4 linked regions of the Saccharomyces cerevisiae S288C genome follow. The protein of the gene in region 4 purifies or fractionates together with the protein of the main gene of each other region. This does not show direct contact. Each region holds a gene or a part of one and is shown on either strand. Other genes may lie near its edges.

Region 1 (5,312 bases), on a different chromosome or scaffold from region 4:
ATTTACATTACCAAAACAAATCGAGGAACAGCAGTAATAATTTTGGAAAATCTTCAAATGGTGATCCCTATAGTTTCGGCAGGAGAAGGTCTCAAGTTGTGTTCGCCGATTCAACTCCCGAGAATATTGAGCATGAAATAATAGCACAAAAGATTAGACCGCTATTAAGAAATAGACGCCGTTCGAGCATAAAACCACATACACCTTTCATTTCCAAACTAAACACACACCAAGATTCATCCTACCTTTCCCCCAATACAACCTCAACGACAACCCCATCAAATAACAACAGTAACTCAAACCAGGCGAAGATAGATTTAGAGAAACTTACTGCGACAAGTGAGCCAACTTCAAGAAGAGCTTCTCGTCTGTCTGTATCGAAAGAATCAAGTATTAGATCGACACTTTTCCCAAACAAAAACTATTTGATCGTCACTACAAACCCTAACTCTAAAGCTACGTCGGTTTCCACCTCCCCTAAGCTAGAAGAACAGATGAATGTAAGTTCAAATCCGATAGTATTATCGGACAAGGAGAAACATAGAGTAGCTTCACAACACCTGAATGGGGAATCGTCGCCACAACTTGTTCCCCATTCTCATCATCAACCTCACTCAGATACAGACGAAGAAGACTGGGAATCAATTGGTGCAGCTTCTCTGAGAAATAACAGTTTAGCACCTAACATAGACAGCGTAGCAAGTTCTACTAATGGCGTAGTTAGCCCTAAACCTACAAATCCAAGTTTTACTAACTCTCAGAATGGAGATATTGAGCCTCCCCTACAACACGACCAACAGAAACATGAACAGCAGCCAAGAAATGGGGAAGACAATAGTGCTGCGTTTTTATTAATGAGCTTAAAATCTTAAGAATTCTTTACCAGTTCCATGAAATAACAAAAAAACAGTAAAAAAAAAATGAAAATGAAAAAAGAATACATATTTTGTTTTAATGAAAGTTTGTTACCAAGTTTTGCTTTAAGTTTATCATCTCTGAATAATTATTTTGTCTTTTTTGTCACCACTTTTTTCTTGTCACATTTTTTTCTTCTTTTCATATTCATTTCATATATTAGCCCGTTCAATATATTTCAAAAGACCCAGTATTTTTCACATTTTACCCTTCCGATTCTTTGTGTAGTATATACAAATTACAAAAACACACACTGAGAAAAACATGCACTAATAAAAAATAAGATATTATGTACTAACGTAGGAAAGCAGGTACAAAACCTCTGCTGTAATTTCACGATTTTCTTTATTGATCATTAATTTTCTTCTTTTTTTTTTTTGTATTATGTATAAATGAAAATAACAATAAAAAAGGAAGTAGATGCACGCTGCACCAGTAAAATAGCTACATAAATTTCTAGTCAACAGTGTCGGCAGTATGTTTGACCTCTTCATGGTTATCTCCGCCACCATCACGGTCGTTTAAGGACAGATTCTCCATAGTGGCGTCTTCATGGTCCTGTTCGTATTGATCTTTCAAACTTTGAAAGTCTTTCTCGTTTTCTAAGATCGCTTTTATTCCAATAATGTCAATGTCATTAAACACTTCCAAAAGTTTCTCAGCCTCTTCAATTGGTATATCTTCAAAGACTTTATTAATATTATCCAAATTTTTGGTCATTATGGCTTCTTGCATTTTTTCCGGTATTAAAGTTTTGAAAACTTTAACCTTTTTCATCTCTTCTGGATCTTTAGAATTGAAGTCTGGCAAGTTTACTTCTAATTCTGTAGAATCATCTAGAGATTTCAATTGAATCGTCTCTACTCCTTCAGCATTCGATTCATCCATTTCCTCTTGTTGTAAAATTTTGGAACGTTTTTGAATGTGCAAAAATTTTTCTTGAACTGATCTCAAAAAAGACTCTTTACCCATTGGCTTGTCCTTGTTGAAGATAACCTTCTCGAAAAACATATTAATGACATTTGATAGTTCCATTGGATTTAAATATGGAATTTTCTTCATGTCGTAGATTTCCTTAATGTAGGCCATCAATTCGGATTGATGAATGACTTGCAAAGTCATCTTATCGTCACCATGTAACTGATACTCAAAGGCCTTCATCATTAAGGCGTCCTTTTGTTGTTCTGAAATAATAGGTAAGTGCTCCAGTAAGAATTTCTGAGATTTTGAGTACTCATTAATGGATATTTTACCGAATTCTTCAGTTTCCTTGGCCAGTTTCATAGGATCATCTTTAAAATCGATGAAAGTTTGCGGAACTGATGATTTTGCTAGTTTATTAAGAATATTAGACTCTGCAGCGCTCGAAAGAGCTTCTGAAGGAGTTGCTTCCAGTGGCTTAGCCCCCCCCTTTTGCTTGTTCATAAAGCTACTATCAAAGCCTGTATGAATGTCTTCAGATGAAATGTGTGCATTTTTCTCCTTGTATAATTCATCTAATTTCTTCTTAGCCTCTACAGTTACTGAATCGATCTTAGCCCTATGTTTCAAAATAGCATCCCTTATGAGAGATGGGCTCTTCGAGTCTTTGCCCTCTTTGTCTAAATCTTTTGCTAATTGTTCAAAAAGATCTTCAACCATTTCATTGTATGTTGCAATCTCAGGATCAACATTTTCCCCTTTACTTTTCTCCATCTTATCAAAATTTGCATTCAAGAATTTGGTAACGGCTGGCAAATCAGTAAGAGAACTTTCAGGTAAATTACTCAAAATTCTGTCCACTCGTTTGTTCAAATGAGAATACATATCCACTTGTGTCTCCAAATTTTTGATATCTTGGTTCCTTTTGAATCGCTGTTCATGGATACTCTGTTGTTTCCATTTAATGAACGATTTCTTGTCCACATTAGGATGCACCTCGACATCAGAATCATCTGATAGTTCAATTTTATCCCACTTAGAGTAATCAATGGCCATTTTTGACTTATGTAGTTGTTCCGTAGTACGATAGCTCGATAGTTTTTTTATCGTGATGAAGTGTTGGTGCAACGGAGGTGTTCTCTTATGTGGCAATCTTTCATGATCCTTCAGTAAAAAATCGTGAAAAACGGATGTTCAAAAAGCGTGTCAAATTTGCGTGAATAAGTGCTCTAATCAATCTAATAACGAATCGTGTATTTAAAAGAGTTGCATACTGCTACACTATATACATATTTCATTTCCATTTGTTAGCCACTAACGATAAAAGTCTGGGCGACCTATATTGAGCCCGTATTCAGCAACAGCGCTACTGAGATCGTTCACCGTCAGAACAACTTTGCTTGCTGTAGTCTTCTCATTCTGTTGATGTTGTTGTTGTGAAATCTGCTGCACGCCAGGCTGTTGCTGTCCTTGCAATAGCTGCCTAGCTCTCGCCTGACTGTTGTTAGCATTAGATACCGCTACGGAAGACCTGATCCTGGAATATTCGTAGGCATCCTTAGCTATATCACTAACAAATTTCTGAGTAGCAAGTGCTAAAAGTCGTTTCACTCGTACATCTGCTACGTTAAACCCGTTTTTGGTTAAATAGTAGTCTATTACTGCATCGGGAATGATAGGAGGAGTACTGTCCATCATCTCTAGAATCTCCTCCAGAGTCTTATCTTTTCTTGTAAATTCGGGTATACCAAATGCATTTTCACTCCCATCATCCACTACAGCCTCTCTCTTTTGCTTCTTCTTCATGTTTTCTGCGACAGAGTCATCATTATCATTGTCCCCATCATCGGCTCCCGCAACCGATGGAAAAGGTGTTTCTAATTGTCCTTCTTGATTATCATCAAACTCCGCATCGTAATCTTCCTCAAAATCCATAGTTTCAGTTATTCTTTCCTCTGTTCTTCGCTGCCAGTTCTTTTTAGCTTAGGCATGAATGCTGAATCTGCAGCTTCTTTAATTTTTCGTTTCTGTTTTCAACTTGAAAAAACAAAAGTATCAACTCCTACTATTCAACTAAAGTAACAAAAATAAGCTGCGTTAAAGCTGCTAAACTAGGAAAGAAGTTTCTGTTGAAATAAAGTAGCGAAAAAAAGTTTGGTACCATGGATAGGTTTCAAATTGGCGACGAGCAACTACTTCGTTTTTATCAGTTGAAGACTATTAATCCGACCCATTCCTGGGCCCAAGATTCCTCAAAATTGAATAATGAAGAGGCTACAAGCAATGAACTTGGCGTTGAAACGTCATTCGACATATTAAAAGACTTCAAATATGGCAATCAAATTAGCATTGACAAGGAATCGAGAGCATATTTAAACGATGAGTCGTTAAGTTATATTAGAGATCCCTTGAATGGACAAGAAATGTCTAAAGAATTGCAACATCTACCAAATGATTCAATGCGGTTGAACTATCTTGTCAACAGTAAACAATTCAACGTCAAAGCCTTTCTGAGAGATATGCACAAACAAGACTCTTTCAATGATCTAAATAACTCACTGGACAGGTTGGACAGTGATATACAAGACCAATCTATACATTTGAAACAATTGGTTGGTAAAAATTTCACCAAGTATGTTAAGATTAAAAACAAGTTAGACCAAATTTACAAAGAATTTGACGAGAAAACGAATGAAAAAAACCAATGTGATTCACCAAAAGAAAATCAAATAAATGTGGAAAGCTTAAATAAAAAGGTCGACGAGGTTATTAGAACAACAACTTTCAAACTGAAACCGCTAATGGATAACTATCAGAAAATTTTGAATTACCAGGCCACCAAAAAATTTATTGAATTGAATAAGTTTTACTTCAACCTACCCAAATCTTTAAAGAGATGTTTGACTAACAACGATTTCAATGAGTTCATTATCGAATATTCAAAAGGTCTTACGCTCCGTCGCCGTTTCAACCAGAGTTCAGATGCTTCACAATCTCTTGTTATAAAAAGAATTTGGACTCAAATAGAAAATTTATTAGTCACGTATAAAGATCTGATTTGGAACAGTTTAATAAATTCAAATTTTAACATTGACCAACCCCAAGAAACAATTTTGTCCCTCTTTTCAAAATTGTTGAACTTAGAAAACTTTATCAATAATAATCAAAGAGAAAGTGAAAGTGGTAACAAGAACACAACTTCATCATCCAATGAAAATCCAATCCTAAGATGGATGTCCATCAAAATGAATGGCTTTCAGAATGAACTGAACGAGTTGTCTGGCCATATGATTAGTAAAATCATTCATTCTCAAAGGCTTATATTACAAAACAATACTAATCAAGATAAAAGTCAAGGGTGCGTGGAGCTGTCGTATTATTTGAAAATCAATCAATTATTCCAAATAATAAGTGATACGGGCAAGGATAGTGAAGGTTTGAAAAGTACCGTTGAACCCAATAAAGTTAACACCATT
Region 2 (5,763 bases), on a different chromosome or scaffold from region 4:
TGCTACAAAATCTACAAACCGTAGTCAATGAGTTATACAGAGAGGATGTGGACTATGTAGCGGACAAGATACTGACGAGACAGACCGTCATGCAAGAATCAATTGCCAGATTCCATGAAATAATCGCCATCGACAAGAACCATTTACGAGCCGTTGAGCAGGCTATTGAGCAGACCATGCACTCGCTAAACGCACAGATAGACGTCCTGACCGCAAATAGGGCCAAAGTCCAACAGTTTAGCTCAACTTCGCATGTGGATGACGAGGACGTGAACTCCATAGCAGTGGCCAAAACAGATGGACTCAATCAACTATACAACCTCGTTGCCCAGGACTACGCTCTCACGGACACCATTGAGTGCTTATCTAGGATGCTGCACCGTGGCACCATTCCCCTCGATACTTTTGTCAAGCAAGGTCGTGAATTAGCACGCCAGCAATTCCTTGTGCGATGGCACATCCAACGAATCACCTCACCGTTATCGTGACTCACTTTCTTTCGCATCGCCGAAGTGCCATAAAAAATATTTTTTTAACCTTTACCTAACAAGAACGGGGAATGGTATATATGGAAGTACATAGTTCGTATATACAGAATCTTTAGAACATCTGAGCTCACTAACCCAGTCTTTCTAATGCTGAGATCGTTATTGCAAAGCGGCCACCGCAGGGTGGTTGCTTCTTCATGTGCTACCATGGTGCGTTGCAGTTCCTCGTCGACCTCCGCGTTGGCGTACAAGCAGATGCACAGACACGCAACAAGACCTCCCTTGCCCACACTAGACACTCCTTCCTGGAATGCCAACAGTGCCGTTTCATCCATCATTTACGAAACACCAGCGCCTTCTCGTCAACCAAGAAAACAGCATGTCTTGAACTGTTTGGTGCAAAACGAACCCGGTGTCTTGTCCAGAGTCTCGGGTACGTTAGCTGCCAGAGGCTTTAACATCGATTCGTTGGTCGTGTGCAACACCGAGGTCAAAGACCTAAGTAGAATGACCATTGTTTTGCAAGGGCAAGATGGCGTAGTCGAACAAGCACGCAGACAAATCGAAGACTTGGTCCCCGTCTACGCCGTCCTAGACTATACCAATTCTGAGATCATCAAAAGAGAGCTAGTGATGGCCAGAATCTCTCTATTGGGTACTGAATACTTCGAAGACCTACTATTGCACCACCACACTTCCACCAATGCTGGCGCCGCTGACTCCCAAGAATTGGTCGCCGAAATCAGAGAAAAGCAATTCCACCCTGCCAACTTGCCCGCCAGTGAGGTATTAAGGTTGAAGCACGAGCATTTGAACGATATCACCAACTTGACCAACAACTTTGGAGGTCGTGTCGTCGACATCAGCGAAACAAGCTGTATTGTGGAGTTGTCTGCAAAACCCACACGTATCTCTGCCTTCTTGAAGTTGGTCGAGCCATTCGGTGTCCTAGAGTGTGCAAGAAGCGGTATGATGGCATTGCCAAGAACTCCTTTGAAGACAAGCACCGAGGAAGCTGCCGACGAAGACGAAAAGATCAGCGAAATCGTCGACATTTCCCAACTACCACCTGGTTAGGTTAGTCTCTCGGCCTTGCGATCGCCCTCGGGACTCTCCTCTATACATCTATATAACGTATCTATAACCATGAGCCTATTTACTCATAAGTTGCTATGATTGTACGTTTGTACGAGGTGACGCGTTACTAAACTATTTTTTTCTTTTGGTTTTCTGCTTTCCTCTTCGATTTTGCCAGATACGAAAAAGGTTAAAGACACAATACCTTGGTGGCTTCTCTAAGTGGGGGGAGTTTTTCACAGCAAAACACACGGTCACCTTTCTTATTATGGACGGATATTGGGATGTTGTAGTGTCGTCCTTGCAAGACATATACAATGCCAACGAGGTCATTCCCTTTGATGATGAGCTGCAAACAAAAAAACTAAATTTCCTTAATATGTCAAAGGATCAGCTGCAATTGCATCTCAACACTTTCCAAGAACACATGGAAAACGTCAACAGAGTGCACCGAATCCTTGACAATGTACGTTCCAATTTGTCGTTGATGTTGAATCAGTCACGAGAGGAAAAGAGTGAGGAAAATACTGAAGATGCAGAAGAAGGAGAAGGGACACGCATGGCATTGTCGCAGGGCAAGAAAGCTGTGGGGAAAGTTGGCAGATCGTACTGGACCAGCGAATACAACCCAAATGCACCTATTTTGGTGGGCTCAGAGGTTGCCTATAAGCCCAGAAGGGGCAGTGCCGACGGCGAATGGATACAGTGTGAAGTACTCAAAGTCGTAGCAGATGGTACACGATTTGAAGTGAGAGATCCTGAACCTGATGAATTGGGCAACTCAGGCAAGGTGTATAAATGTAATCGGAAAGAACTACTGTTGATCCCGCCAGGCTTTCCCACTAAGAACTACCCGCCAGGTACTAAGGTTCTGGCAAGATATCCTGAAACGACCACTTTTTATCCTGCAATTGTCATCGGAACCAAGAGGGACGGCACTTGCAGGCTTCGATTTGATGGTGAAGAGGAAGTGGACAAAGAGACGGAAGTGACTCGCCGTCTAGTGCTGCCTTCGCCAACGGCTTTGGCAAACCTAGCAAGGAAATAGCAATGGTGGTTAACATTTACTACATATCATAAGATCTTCTCATGGCATTTTGTCATTATTTTGGTATCGTCGGAAGTGATGTATTCACTTGAAGGTGAAAAAAATTGAAAAAAAATGAAAGCTTGGATGAAATCAATTATATTGAGGATTTCCCATTAGAAATAAGCTATGGGCGAAAAGGAAACAAACATCAGCTGGATTTTTTCGCCAAGATGGAGAGAGAGCTAGGGATGTATGGAAATGATAGGAGTAGATCAAGATCACCTGTACGTCGTCGTTTGAGCGACGACAGAGACAGGTACGATGATTATAACGATAGTAGCAGTAATAATGGTAATGGCAGTCGTCGTCAGAGACGCGACCGAGGCTCCCGTTTCAATGATCGGTACGATCAGAGTTATGGTGGCAGCCGCTACCACGATGATAGGAACTGGCCCCCTCGCCGAGGAGGCCGTGGCAGAGGAGGAAGCAGATCATTCAGAGGGGGACGCGGTGGCGGTAGGGGTCGTACTTTAGGTCCAATTGTTGAAAGAGACTTAGAAAGGCAATTTGACGCGACCAAGAGAAATTTTGAAAATAGTATCTTCGTGAGAAACTTGACTTTTGATTGTACCCCTGAAGACCTTAAGGAATTGTTTGGTACAGTGGGCGAAGTTGTGGAGGCTGACATTATCACATCAAAGGGCCATCACCGTGGTATGGGGACTGTGGAATTTACCAAAAACGAATCTGTCCAAGATGCCATATCGAAGTTTGATGGTGCCCTCTTTATGGACCGGAAACTAATGGTAAGACAGGATAATCCTCCTCCTGAAGCTGCCAAGGAATTTTCTAAGAAAGCTACTAGGGAAGAAATAGATAATGGGTTTGAAGTGTTCATCATCAATTTACCGTACTCTATGAATTGGCAATCCTTAAAAGATATGTTTAAAGAATGTGGTCATGTCTTGCGTGCCGATGTAGAATTGGATTTCAACGGATTTTCAAGAGGATTCGGTTCTGTCATTTATCCTACTGAGGATGAAATGATTAGAGCTATCGATACATTCAACGGCATGGAAGTAGAAGGTAGAGTTTTGGAAGTTAGAGAAGGGCGTTTCAACAAGAGAAAGAACAATGATCGTTATAATCAAAGGCGTGAGGACCTTGAAGATACCAGAGGTACTGAACCAGGTCTTGCGCAGGATGCCGCTGTCCACATTGATGAAACTGCAGCAAAATTTACTGAAGGTGTCAATCCAGGAGGGGATAGAAACTGTTTCATTTATTGTAGTAATTTACCATTCTCAACAGCAAGAAGCGATTTATTCGACTTGTTTGGGCCTATCGGCAAAATCAATAACGCGGAATTGAAACCACAGGAAAATGGTCAACCAACTGGTGTTGCTGTTGTAGAATATGAAAATTTAGTAGATGCAGATTTTTGTATTCAAAAATTAAATAATTATAATTATGGTGGTTGTAGTTTACAGATCTCTTATGCTAGACGTGATTAATTCCTAAGCACCAACCGAACCATGACCTGTGTACTTTATGATAACGTATAAATAATAAGGAAGCGGGCGGGTTATAAATAACTTTAATAGTTATATTTATCATTTTGACCAAAAAGAATAACCTTATTTAATCCCTGTAAAAGAGCACCACTTCCAGCGATGAGATGCGAAAAGCGAAGAAAAAAAAAAAAAAAAAAAGGGTATTCTAAACTGAATATATAAAAACTGCCACCAATTAAGAGAAGAAAAGCTACACAATTAATTTCCAAAAATTGCAAATACGAGTATGAAGAGTTTGTTCTATCTCAAATTGCTCCTCTGGGTTGTGCTATTGTCTTTATGCCTTCTTATGGCACACCGGAAAACCAAAGTTGGTATGTATATTTAAGCATTTGAAAATGCAAAGTGCAAACCGTATCTAAATACTAACAGCTGTAATAGCCGACAAATTTCGTGCACTGCGTTCAAGAATACAATTACGTTTTAATAGACATATACGTTTAAATGATTCCTTTGCTGATGACCTAGAAAACGGTCTCCATTCCAGGAATTTCGATATTATCTCGGAGAATAGCAACGACGTAAGAGGTGGTTTGGATGATGTCTCCAAGAATGAGATTAAACAAATTATGGAAAACGATAATGTAGATTTCGATAAGGCTAGACTATTATATATGGAAAGAAAGTTCGGCCAAAATGGTATTGCCCCCGATGGAACCCCTATTGATCCAAAAGCATTCACCTTTGATAGTAGGTAAAGGTATCTAATATATTCAGTTTTACTTAAGTGGGAGGTTTTTCCCCCTTTTTCTTATTTGTCCATATTTTATGTAAATGTATACATTGCATTAAATTAAAAAGAAAAAAAAAATCAATAAAACACTCAATAAAATTTCAGTTTCTCTGGGCCACCAACAGCGCAGTTCTGTTTCCCATCTTCATCTTCATCGTCACTCAACGCAACAAAATCTTTTAAGTACGCGTACGAAGCATCTTTAGTTAACAGCATATTTGTCATATTACCGATAGATCCCTCTCCAGTATATTTGTATTTTCTACTGTCGTTGTTTTTCAAAGGAACAGTATTACGCTCTGGCGTCAATGCTTTAGTTCTCCTACTTAGATCAGCAAAGTCAATTTTGCTAGGGGAAACCCAAATGGGCTCGTCTTTTTGTTTCTTTCGAAGGAACCCCTCTTTCTCATGCTTTGTGCTACTCTGAGGCAAAACATAGATTAATGGTCCACTAGGAGACTCTTGAACTTTCTGAGCATTTCCTAACACGGTTTTATTCGAACTTAAGTCGGATGATATTTTCATATTGTCAGTACTCATGGAGGTATTTCCAAATGCTATATTAAATGAACTGAATTCTAAATCATCTAACAGTTCGGTAGGTTTTTGATCAATATTACCGCTACTCAACTTATCGTCTGTGCTCTTGTTATTTGAAGTTGTAACGTTAATACTTCGCGGAGTATTTGGAAGTTCTTCCACCGGAAATTCAGCAGTGGGTTCCTCTGCTGGAGTATAGAATCTGTCATCCGGAATTTCATCTTGGGATGGAAATTTTAATTCCATCAGCCTTTTGTCAGGTTCATCATTGTTGTGAGTATCATAAGTGAACGAAATATCAGATGGAGAGCCATTTTCATA
Region 3 (5,118 bases), on a different chromosome or scaffold from region 4:
AAATTATAATTTGAAGTACAGCGGCGTTAGCGAGGACGATGATGAGATTCCAGAGTTTGAAATACCGACAGAAATGTCGTTAGAGCTGCTACTTGCGGCGGACTATTTGAGTATATAGGTACAGGAAAAACAAAAAAGAGTTAGGAACTCTTTCAAAAAATTATATTATATGGGTGTGATGTTGCAGCATATTACTCTGATATGTAGAAAATTGAATGCATTGTTATAGCGTACTTATGTGTAACCCTTCCACATAACGGAATGCAAGGTATCATTTGGCATCATATATGGGAGGTGCTATTATAAAAACATGTAGTTAATAGCTAAAACAGTTTTCGCCTTCTCTCTTTGAGATGTTACCACATAACTACATGAACTTCTATGTGCAGATATGCCGCATAAAATGTAAGAATCTTGCTTTTTTTATGAACCTATGCCCACAAGAAATGGGCTAAAATCTGTCTGTGCCTTTTCAATTACCCATAAACCACCACCTAGTGTCAACGTCTAGCACCCCTACTCAAACATCTCTGTAAATGAGCTGCTAGTCTGTTTGCGGACACATCCCTGCCACAATTCTCACAGTGAATATACTGAGAGGACTCTTGTTGCTTCTGTAGTCCATTAATATCGAGAGATCCGTTCGGGTCGAAATAATAACTGCGAAGATCCGGATATCTTGTCTTCAGCAATTGTTGTTGAGTGGTTTCCCGAGCTACAATGTCCTGGATCAATGTGGTTAACAGGTTATTCAGTATCCCATTTGAAATAGAATCTATAGTAATAGTTTCTTCGGTCATCGCAACAGGAAAACCCCGTAACCTAAAGAATTTGAAGGATTATTATACTGCTCTGCTCAACGGAAGAAACGCTAAGTTACTTCTTCGATTCCTCAGAATCAAGAAAATAAGCAAATCACTGCTATACATATAATACATGCATCTATTATATAACAATAATCCAAGATACGAAAAGGAAAACTTGATTTTTTTTCTGCGGAAGTTTCAGAGCAGAAAAACTCTGTTACCCTATATTGCGTCATAAATAAGATATAGATAAAACTACCTAGCATACTTTATAATAAAAGGCGACATGAAGGATAGTACGAAGAGATTATTTTAAGACCTTACCGTCAACAATTTCCTTTGGTTCGCCATTGACGGAAACTGGCTTATCCCAGGCCCACATGTTATTGATGAATTCTTTGTCGTCGTCGTTAGTTGGATCCAACTTTGCATAGTCGTAAGATTCCCAATCTGGTGCGACATCGAAAGCTGGAACGTAATCTTGGCCCCTAACCATAACTGCACCAACAATACCGTTGTTGTTGTTTTCACCGTAGACTACCAGACAACCGAACATGTACTTGGTAGAGGCGGACAATCTGTTGAAGAAACCACCGACCAAGTTGTTGGACATGAAAGTCAAAGTCAATTCATCGTTGTACTTGTAGGTGACTTTCCACAGGGAATACTCTTCTGGGTTGTAGTGCTCCCAAAACCAAGGTAAAGCAACTGGTCTGGTGTCTTCATTGGAGTACTTTCTCTTCCAGTCATCCAAAACGAAAGTTGACTTGCCCAATAATTCTAATGGGTGCTTTGGTTTCTTGGAAGAAGTTTCAGTTTCGGTAGCAGCTGGCTTGGCTTCCTCCTTCTTCTTCGAAGCGGCGGGAGCGGCGGCTGGGGCCTTCTTTTCCTTCTTCTTTTGAGGGGGACTCAATGGCTTGTCAGCGAACTTGAAATCCTTGTATTCATCCTTCAAGAAGGGTGAGGCTCTAACGGTGTTGAACCATCTCACGATGGCTGGATGTTGAGCTCTCCATTCAGTACCGAACAGGCTTTCAAAGTATCTGGTGAAAATCGAGGCAGCCACCAAGTCGGCCAAGGAGATGTTTTCCGTAGCCAAATAGGTGTAGTTTTTCAATCTGTTCTCGAAGATGTCGACGATCTTGTCAACAGCGTCCATCGCAGAATCAACGCTCTTCTTGTTGTAGGGGGCGCCGCCCTTCAAGGGAACGATGGTGTTGGCAATCTGGATGCACAGATCACTGTTGGCCAAAGATTGCCATCTGATGATTTGCGCTTGGGCATTTAAGTCATCGTCGGCACCTAAAAGTTGAGTCTTCATCTTGTCGTCCTGTGAAAGCTTTACTAAATAATAGTTAATCGCCATTGCCTCGGTTAGCTTGTAACCCTTTGGACCCACGAAAGCCGGAACCTTCTTCAAGGGAAAGTCCCTTGCGAACTGTTCAGCGGCGGCATCTGGCGTAACAACCTTAACGTCCAGCTTCAAAGCCTTGACAAGACCTCTTGGGACCCAAGTTCTAATTCTGAAGTTAGCATATAAAGTACCTTGAGACATGGCGTGCAAAAACTGTATCTGATCTTGAGTTTCTATGTTCTGTATGCTCTAATAACAGAAAATACAATAACAAGGAGGGAAGACCAATTTGCGGGCTGCCAAGCAACACAACCAAACCCTGCTGATAAACGAAAACAAGAAAACTAATAAAAAAATAAATAAGGAACTCTACAAGGACTACACTAATCATGTCTCACTCCCGCGGATTGAAAAAACGAAAGAAAAAAACAGGAATCAACGCCCAACGACCTGCAGCAGCAAGCGTGAGAAATTCCCCGAGTGGGTCACCGCGAGCGGAAGATGAAACAAGCAGCAGTCGGCTTGCACAGGCCTTGCATGTATGCGTTGGTGGGCCTTGGGCTTTACTTATAAGCAGCTGCTTCGCCACTTGATACGGTTGTTCTTTACATCTGTTTCTCGCTGGGGGAAGTTTATTAGGTTTAGTTTTTCCGCTTTGTGCTTTGCGTTTTTTTAGCTTATACAGAAGAAACGCACTTAAAAAGAATCAAATCAGTAACAAATTTTGGTATTGTTTCTCAAAGAAGAAAATAGAAAGTGAGAATGGCCGTATCAGCCCGTTTGAGAACGACTGCCGAGGATACATCCATTGCTAAATCAACACAAGATCCAATTGGTGATACAGAAATCAGTGTAGCAAATGCTAAGGGCAGCAGCGATAGCAACATTAAGAATTCGCCAGGCGGAAACAGCGTTGGTCAGGAGTCGGAGCTAGAGCATGTCCCTGAGGAGGATGACTCTGGTGACAAGGAAGCAGATCATGAGGATTCTGAGACAGCCACTGCGAAGAAGAGGAAAGCCCAACCATTGAAGAATCCGAAGAAATCATTGAAGAGGGGCAGAGTCCCGGCGCCTTTGAATTTATCGGATAGCAACACTAATACACACGGTGGTAATATTAAGGACGGCAACTTGGCTTCGTCTAACTCTGCACATTTTCCTCCTGTTGCTAATCAAAACGTGAAAAGCGCGCCCGCACAAGTTACTCAGCATTCCAAGTTCCAGCCCCGTGTCCAATACTTGGGAAAGGCCAGTTCTAGACAATCTATACAAGTGAATAATAGCAGCAATAGTTATGGGAAACCACACATGCCCTCGGCGGGCATCATGAGCGCCATGAACCCTTACATGCCCATGAATCGCTACATAATGTCACCATATTATAATCCGTACGGTATCCCTCCACCTCACATGCTGAACAAGCCCATAATGACACCCTACGTGTCGTATCCATATCCAATGGGACCGCGGACCTCCATTCCTTATGCTATGCAAGGTGGCAACGCTAGGCCCTACGAAGAAAATGAGTATAGTGCTAGCAATTACAGAAACAAGAGGGTTAACGACTCATATGATTCGCCTTTGAGTGGCACCGCTTCCACTGGGAAAACCAGACGATCCGAGGAAGGCTCAAGAAATTCTAGCGTAGGATCAAGTGCGAATGCCGGTCCTACGCAACAGCGCGCGGATCTACGCCCAGCAGATATGATACCTGCTGAAGAATACCACTTTGAACGGGATGCATTACTCTCGGCCAACACGAAAGCCAGAAGCGCAAGCACAAGCACAAGTACAAGCACAAGCACAAACCGGGACAGGAGTTCATGGCATGAGGCAGAACCCAATAAAGACGAAGAAGAGGGTACGGACTTGGCCATCGAGGACGGAGCGGTCCCCACTCCCACTTTTACTACGTTCCAGCGGACCTCGCAGCCGCAGCAGCAATCACCTAGTCTTCTTCAAGGCGAAATCCGACTCTCATCGCATATTTTTGCCTTCGAGTTCCCCCTGAGCTCTAGCAATGTAGACAAGAAAATGTTTATGAGCATATGTAATAAAGTATGGAATGAATCAAAGGAGCTGACAAAAAAATCATCATCACATCACAGAACCGGAAAATAGTAGCCACACAGGCACTTATAAACTTACATACACTCGCATACACTCACCTACTCACACACGCACTCACACACACACTCTCACTCGCACACCAAGGACAATTCAGTACATACACAATTTTTATATAAGTTTGATAAACTAAAAGATGAGGGTGAGTATTCACCTTATTAATAGTTACAGCCTTTATCGTCACTAGACACGACAGCATTGGTTTGTCTTTTTTTTTTTTTTTTTTTTTTCCTTTCCATCGTTGTAGCGGATTTGGCGTTGAAGTATTTTGATATAAGTAAAACAGAACACCAAATCAAGAATAATAAAGGAGGAAAAGTCGTCAACCAAGCGGATTCTCAATTGGTAGAAAAGCTTTTATTATTTTCTGTTAGCCGCTCTTGGGACCCGTTATTTCTGAACCTATTTTTCCTTCCGCACTTTGTGAAAGTAAGAAGAGAATAGCATCAATTTTAGTATTTTTCAAACAGAAGAATTTAAAAGAGCTAGAATAAAAAGTTAGGAAACAATGTCACTTTCTCTTGTATCGTACCGCCTAAGAAAGAACCCGTGGGTTAACATTTTTCTACCTGTTTTGGCCATATTTCTAATATATATAATTTTTTTCCAGAGAGATCAATCTCTGTTGGGACTTAATGGCCAGTCCATTTCCCAACACAAATGGGCACACGAAAAGGAAAACACATTTTATTTTCCCTTCACCAAGAAATACAAAATGCCAAAGTACTCTTATAAGAAAAAAAGCGGCTGGTTGTTCAACGATCACGTGGAAGATATTATCCCAGAAGGTCATATTGCACATTATGATTTGAACAAATTGCACTCTACGTC
Region 4 (4,298 bases):
ACAGGAATAGCAGTGGAAATGGGAACTCTTATAAAAGTAATGATTCGCTAACATATAATTGCGGCAAAACTTTAAGTGGAAAGGACATATACAATTATGGATTGATCATATTAAACCGAATTAATCCTGACAATTTTTCTATGGGCATTGTTCCCAATAGTGTCGTAAATAAAAGAAAAGTATTTAATGCAGAAGAGGATACACTTAACCCACTAGAGTGCATGGGGGTAGAGGTGAAAGATGAATTGGTCATTATTAAGAACTTGAAGCATGAGGTCTATGGTATATGGATTCATACAGTTAGTGATAGACAAAATATCTACGAACTAATAAAATATCTTCTGGAAAATGAGCCAAAAGATTCTTTTGCTTGAGCACAGAGGTGAGATGCCCAAGTGAGAATTTTTTTTAAATAATGATGTACTTTAATACAATATATATATATATATATATATATATATATATATATATATAAGGAATGATAACTCTATTTAAGTAGATTATGACATTGTAGTAGAAGAGGGCGTGCTACTTGCGCTCTGTTTCTTCTTAGTCATTCTTTTCTTTTTAGGAGCTGGTGTACCGCTCTCGCTTTTTTTTGCATTTTTTCTAGGTCGCTTAACCTTTGGTTTATCTAAATTATTATTATTATTATTATTGTTACTGGTGGCATTGTTACCACTCCGTTTATTTGCGTTTTTCATGGCTCCACCATTCTGTTGTTGCTCCAAGGCCTGCTGTTGTCTTTGAAGTAGCTGTTGCTGTGGAGTCAATGGTGCTGTCATCGATATTCTAGCGTTGAAGGGGGTTGGATTGATGTTTGCACTTAAAGCCTGCTGTTTTCTTTTTTCTTTATTTATTCTCCATTGTTCAATAAATTTCAGCCTGCTAAATTGATTATTATCGTTACCCATGGTAGATCCCACTGCAGCCGCAGCCGCTGCCGCTGCCAAAGCTACTTGATTGCCATTAGCCAAACTGTTATTCCTTGTATTTGATGCGGAATTCGAAGTTGAGGACGAAGCTCCACGTACCCCGTTGGAACTGGAGCTAGCAATCTCCATCGCATTCTTGGTTAACGAAACAGCAAACGTGGAGTTGGTTATCGTTGTTGTGCGTTCATTCATGATCAACATCAACTGTTCATAATTTGAACTATGTTGCGGAAATTCATCGCGTTCTTCGATATGCCCTACAACGCCCTTCGTGCCTTCTCTCGTAGACTCAGCACGATGTTCGTGAATGAAGGATTTTTTTTCACTATCCCAATGAGGTTCTGAAAAAGCTGTTTCCTCCAACATGTCTCGGTGCTCATATGGATTTAATGGCACACTTAGTGACAAGTTCCTCTTGGTAAGTGTTAAAATTTCAGATTCAAACTGTTGATAAATGCTATCAGAAAACCTGGCATTATCTGCATAAGACATCATGTCATAATACGTCGTCAAATCATTAGGCTTCAACAATGTTCGATATACTCTAGGTCGTTTGAAGGATGCCTTCTTATTTGCTGTGTTTGCGCCTGTATTTGCCACACCACTATTAGGTTCGGATGGTTGTTGAATCTTGGAATTGTCCTGTGTGCTATTATTATTTGAAGGGGAAGAAGAGCTGTTCAAATTAGGCTTGTTCTCTTTGGGGGTGACATCAACTGTATTAGTATGGTCATAAACCTGTAAAATAAGATTTCCTTCGTAAAATTGGATATTACAGTCCCTTAAGACTTCCATAATAGCATCAGGAATCCTTCCTCTTGCGACGTACTCTAAAAATTCTTTCAAAGTTTCGTTATTTTTGGTTAATATTAAACCGTCACTAGTCAGCTCGGGTTGCTTTTGCTGCTGTTGTAACCTGCTATTTGCAGGAGCGCAAATCTTATAATTATTCTCATAAATATGAAATTCAAAACTGTGTAAATATTGCTCATATTTTTTCAAAATTGAGTCTGCATCTTCCACAAAATTGTAAAGTCTTTTAGGTCTTTTGTTTAAGGTCATAAGCATTTGATAAAACTGAGCCTCATAGTTTTGGAGTGCTTGCTGTTTTCTCTGTTGTTCGAGTAGTCTTTGCTGTAGTAATAATCGTTGTCTTTGCTGCAATTGCTGTATTTGCTCCCTGGTTAAAGTCCTAGTACCTTCATTGGCATTACTATTACTGTTTGTCCTCATAACAGGATGATTTACATTTGCTACCGCTGGGTTCATAGGAGGTGGTACATTAACTGGACTGCCTGGCGAACCCATATTGGATGGTGTTGCGTTCACAGGAATACCAAATACATGGGGATCGTTTCCTGTCGGGCTATTGGCACTCATCCCTGAAATATATAGGCGCAAATTAACCGTAACTATTCCTTCCTAATCCTCTTGAAGGCTACTTTTCTCATTCTTTTATCTCTGCTGGTCGATCATCTTAACACTTCTTCATGATTAATGGTCGTCAGGTATCACGAGCGGGTAACAGAACTAAGCAGTTATAGCGATCCCAGTTTTACTTTAAAGATAGTTAGTTAGTTATTAATGGTGCGGATAACAAGAACTATTGTCACTCAGAATCTTATACAGGTATGGACATGGAACATTGGGTCATATACATAAGAAATAAATTATAAAGAAGGGTCGAATCAAACATAAGCGGAGAATAGCCAAATAAAAAAAAAAGATGAAAAGAAAGCTATGTAGCTTTCCACATGTCTTGCATACCAAGGATAGATGTGACAACACCGGATAGCGCAACATACTCTTCGTTGCTAGACAAGTACCCTAGGTTGTTGAGGACGATGAACGAATCTGCAGCATCCCAGAATAGTCTTCTTAACGCGGTGTACCTGTCTTGGTATGCCTTCCCTAGTACCTTCTTGTGATCCTCATGCTCATCGCCTTGGCTTTGTGATTTTGCCTTGACAAACGCAGCAATCTGGGCATGAGATGTTTGGATCTTACGAAGATCCATAGCCAGACCACTTAGGAGGCCGAACAGCCAACACCAATTGGACCAGCGAGGTATTTTCTTACCGGTAAGAACGGTTACAGGAATCACTTTCAAAATTCTCAAAAGATTGACTTGATCTAACGACAAATATGCAGCAAAGAAGATGTTTTTCAAAACATTGCAGACTCTAACGACGTTGTCGCTGGCCAACTTGTTATCGTAGAATTTAGCAGCTGCCTGCAAGTGGTTTAAAGGCTTCAGAAACCTCAGAAATTTTCTGACTGTGGTAAATTGAGCTTGTAATTGCCTGGCCAAGAGAGATGAGTTCTGTACTGCTAAAAATCTTGCTAAATACTGCAGTAATCTGAGAACCTTTTCTCTGCCAGCTGAGCCATCTAGAAATTTGACGAATCTCGTCACGGAGGGATGATATACCAGTGTATCACAGACCATATTGATTATACTATTACTTGATGAAGTCTTTGAAGTAGTAGATGGAGACAACGGTTTTTCAGTTGTTGGAGTCACTTCCCTTTTATATCTATAAATGATATACCCATCGCTTCGGGTTCTCCGAGATAAATGCCGACGCGTAGTGAAAATCGCAATGGAATTGATGCCAACTTTGTTCTTGGTATTATATTTTTACAATAGAAGGGCAAGCATAGAAAGGATGGGTTACTATGACATTGATGATGTCCTAGCAGATGGGACAGAGTTTCCTTGTAAATTTCAATATGATATTCCTGGTCTTGGTTATTTGGAAAACAACCCAGGACGACCCATAACGAAAAACACTAAACTAAGCCTGCCACTATGGTTAGCAAGAATCCTTGCAATTGTGGGTGGTGACGAAGCCTTGGTAGATGAAGAACCTGTACCTTTTGTGGAACTCCTGCCACCAGATATGTTTTCTACGAAAGTTATGAACGCTATAAAGACCGATCCGGTGGCTCTGGACTTGCATTCCATAAATTCGCATTTCTTCAGTCTAGCCATAAAATGGATAATGTTGTTTAGCGAAAAAGAACTGGCCAATGTCGTTAGTGAGCTACTTTTGCAACGTGCCCAAGAACTTAATCATCATGCTAGTAGTTTATCGATTGATCTCAATGCAGACTCGACCGGAAAAAATTCAGCGAACACTAATATAGCAACTAGCACATTTTTACTGAAACTAGAAGAAATGGAGAAGGAGATATATAAAAAGTCTCATGAATCTTATAAGGACACGAAAAGGTGGATGTTTAAAAAATAACACATCTTTTTCTTTAGAAATACACTATATAAAATAACTATAAAAAAAAGGCAACAGTATAATATTAAGTTTCTTTAAAAGTCTTGATTCTAACCCTCGCCTCTTCTTA

What was found.
Region 1: the proteins of SPT20 (region 4) and TAF10 purify together in Saccharomyces cerevisiae (affinity purification with mass spectrometry; 11 studies listed by BioGRID, with this or other methods). This does not show direct contact.
Region 2: the proteins of SPT20 (region 4) and SGF29 purify together in Saccharomyces cerevisiae (affinity purification with mass spectrometry; 8 studies listed by BioGRID, with this or other methods). This does not show direct contact.
Region 3: the proteins of SPT20 (region 4) and SGF11 purify together in Saccharomyces cerevisiae (affinity purification with mass spectrometry; 9 studies listed by BioGRID). This does not show direct contact.

What each region holds. Positions count from the first base shown.
Region 1 is NC_001136.10:787,908-793,219, reverse strand, and holds TAF10 (Taf10p), read right to left. Parts: upstream 3,772-5,312; coding exon 3,151-3,771; downstream 1-3,150. Other genes in the region: STB3 (Stb3p), read left to right, coding at 1-872; Hsp90 co-chaperone CDC37, read right to left, coding at 1,372-2,892; exocyst subunit SEC5, read left to right, coding at 3,999-5,312.
Region 2 is NC_001135.5:100,421-106,183, reverse strand, and holds SGF29 (Sgf29p), read left to right. Parts: upstream 1-1,833; coding exon 1,834-2,613; downstream 2,614-5,763. Other genes in the region: ubiquitin-binding ESCRT-I subunit protein STP22, read left to right, coding at 1-488; ILV6 (acetolactate synthase regulatory subunit), read left to right, coding at 636-1,565; GBP2 (single-stranded telomeric DNA-binding/mRNA-binding protein), read left to right, coding at 2,826-4,109; YCL012C (uncharacterized protein), read left to right, coding at 4,396-4,483, 4,551-4,867; BUD3 (Bud3p), read right to left, coding at 4,993-5,763. UniProt on the Saccharomyces cerevisiae protein: Chromatin reader component of the transcription coactivator SAGA complex. SAGA acts as a general cofactor required for essentially all RNA polymerase II transcription.
Region 3 is NC_001148.4:461,644-466,761, reverse strand, and holds SGF11 (SAGA histone acetyltransferase complex subunit SGF11), read right to left. Parts: upstream 801-5,118; coding exon 501-800; downstream 1-500. Other genes in the region: ELC1 (elongin C), read left to right, coding at 1-118; CAM1 (translation elongation factor EF1B gamma), read right to left, coding at 1,114-2,361; DIG1 (Dig1p), read left to right, coding at 2,923-4,281; mannosyltransferase complex subunit MNN9, read left to right, coding at 4,796-5,118. UniProt on the Saccharomyces cerevisiae protein: Component of the transcription coactivator SAGA complex. SAGA acts as a general cofactor required for essentially all RNA polymerase II transcription. At the promoters, SAGA is required for transcription pre-initiation complex (PIC) recruitment.
Region 4 is NC_001147.6:45,260-49,557, forward strand, and holds SPT20 (Spt20p), read right to left. Parts: upstream 2,316-4,298; coding exon 501-2,315; downstream 1-500. Other genes in the region: DCP1 (Dcp1p), read left to right, coding at 1-374; PEX11 (Pex11p), read right to left, coding at 2,674-3,384; DNA replication protein PSF3, read left to right, coding at 3,605-4,189; CTR9 (Ctr9p), read right to left, coding at 4,296-4,298. UniProt on the Saccharomyces cerevisiae protein: Component of the transcription coactivator SAGA complex. SAGA acts as a general cofactor required for essentially all RNA polymerase II transcription. At the promoters, SAGA is required for transcription pre-initiation complex (PIC) recruitment.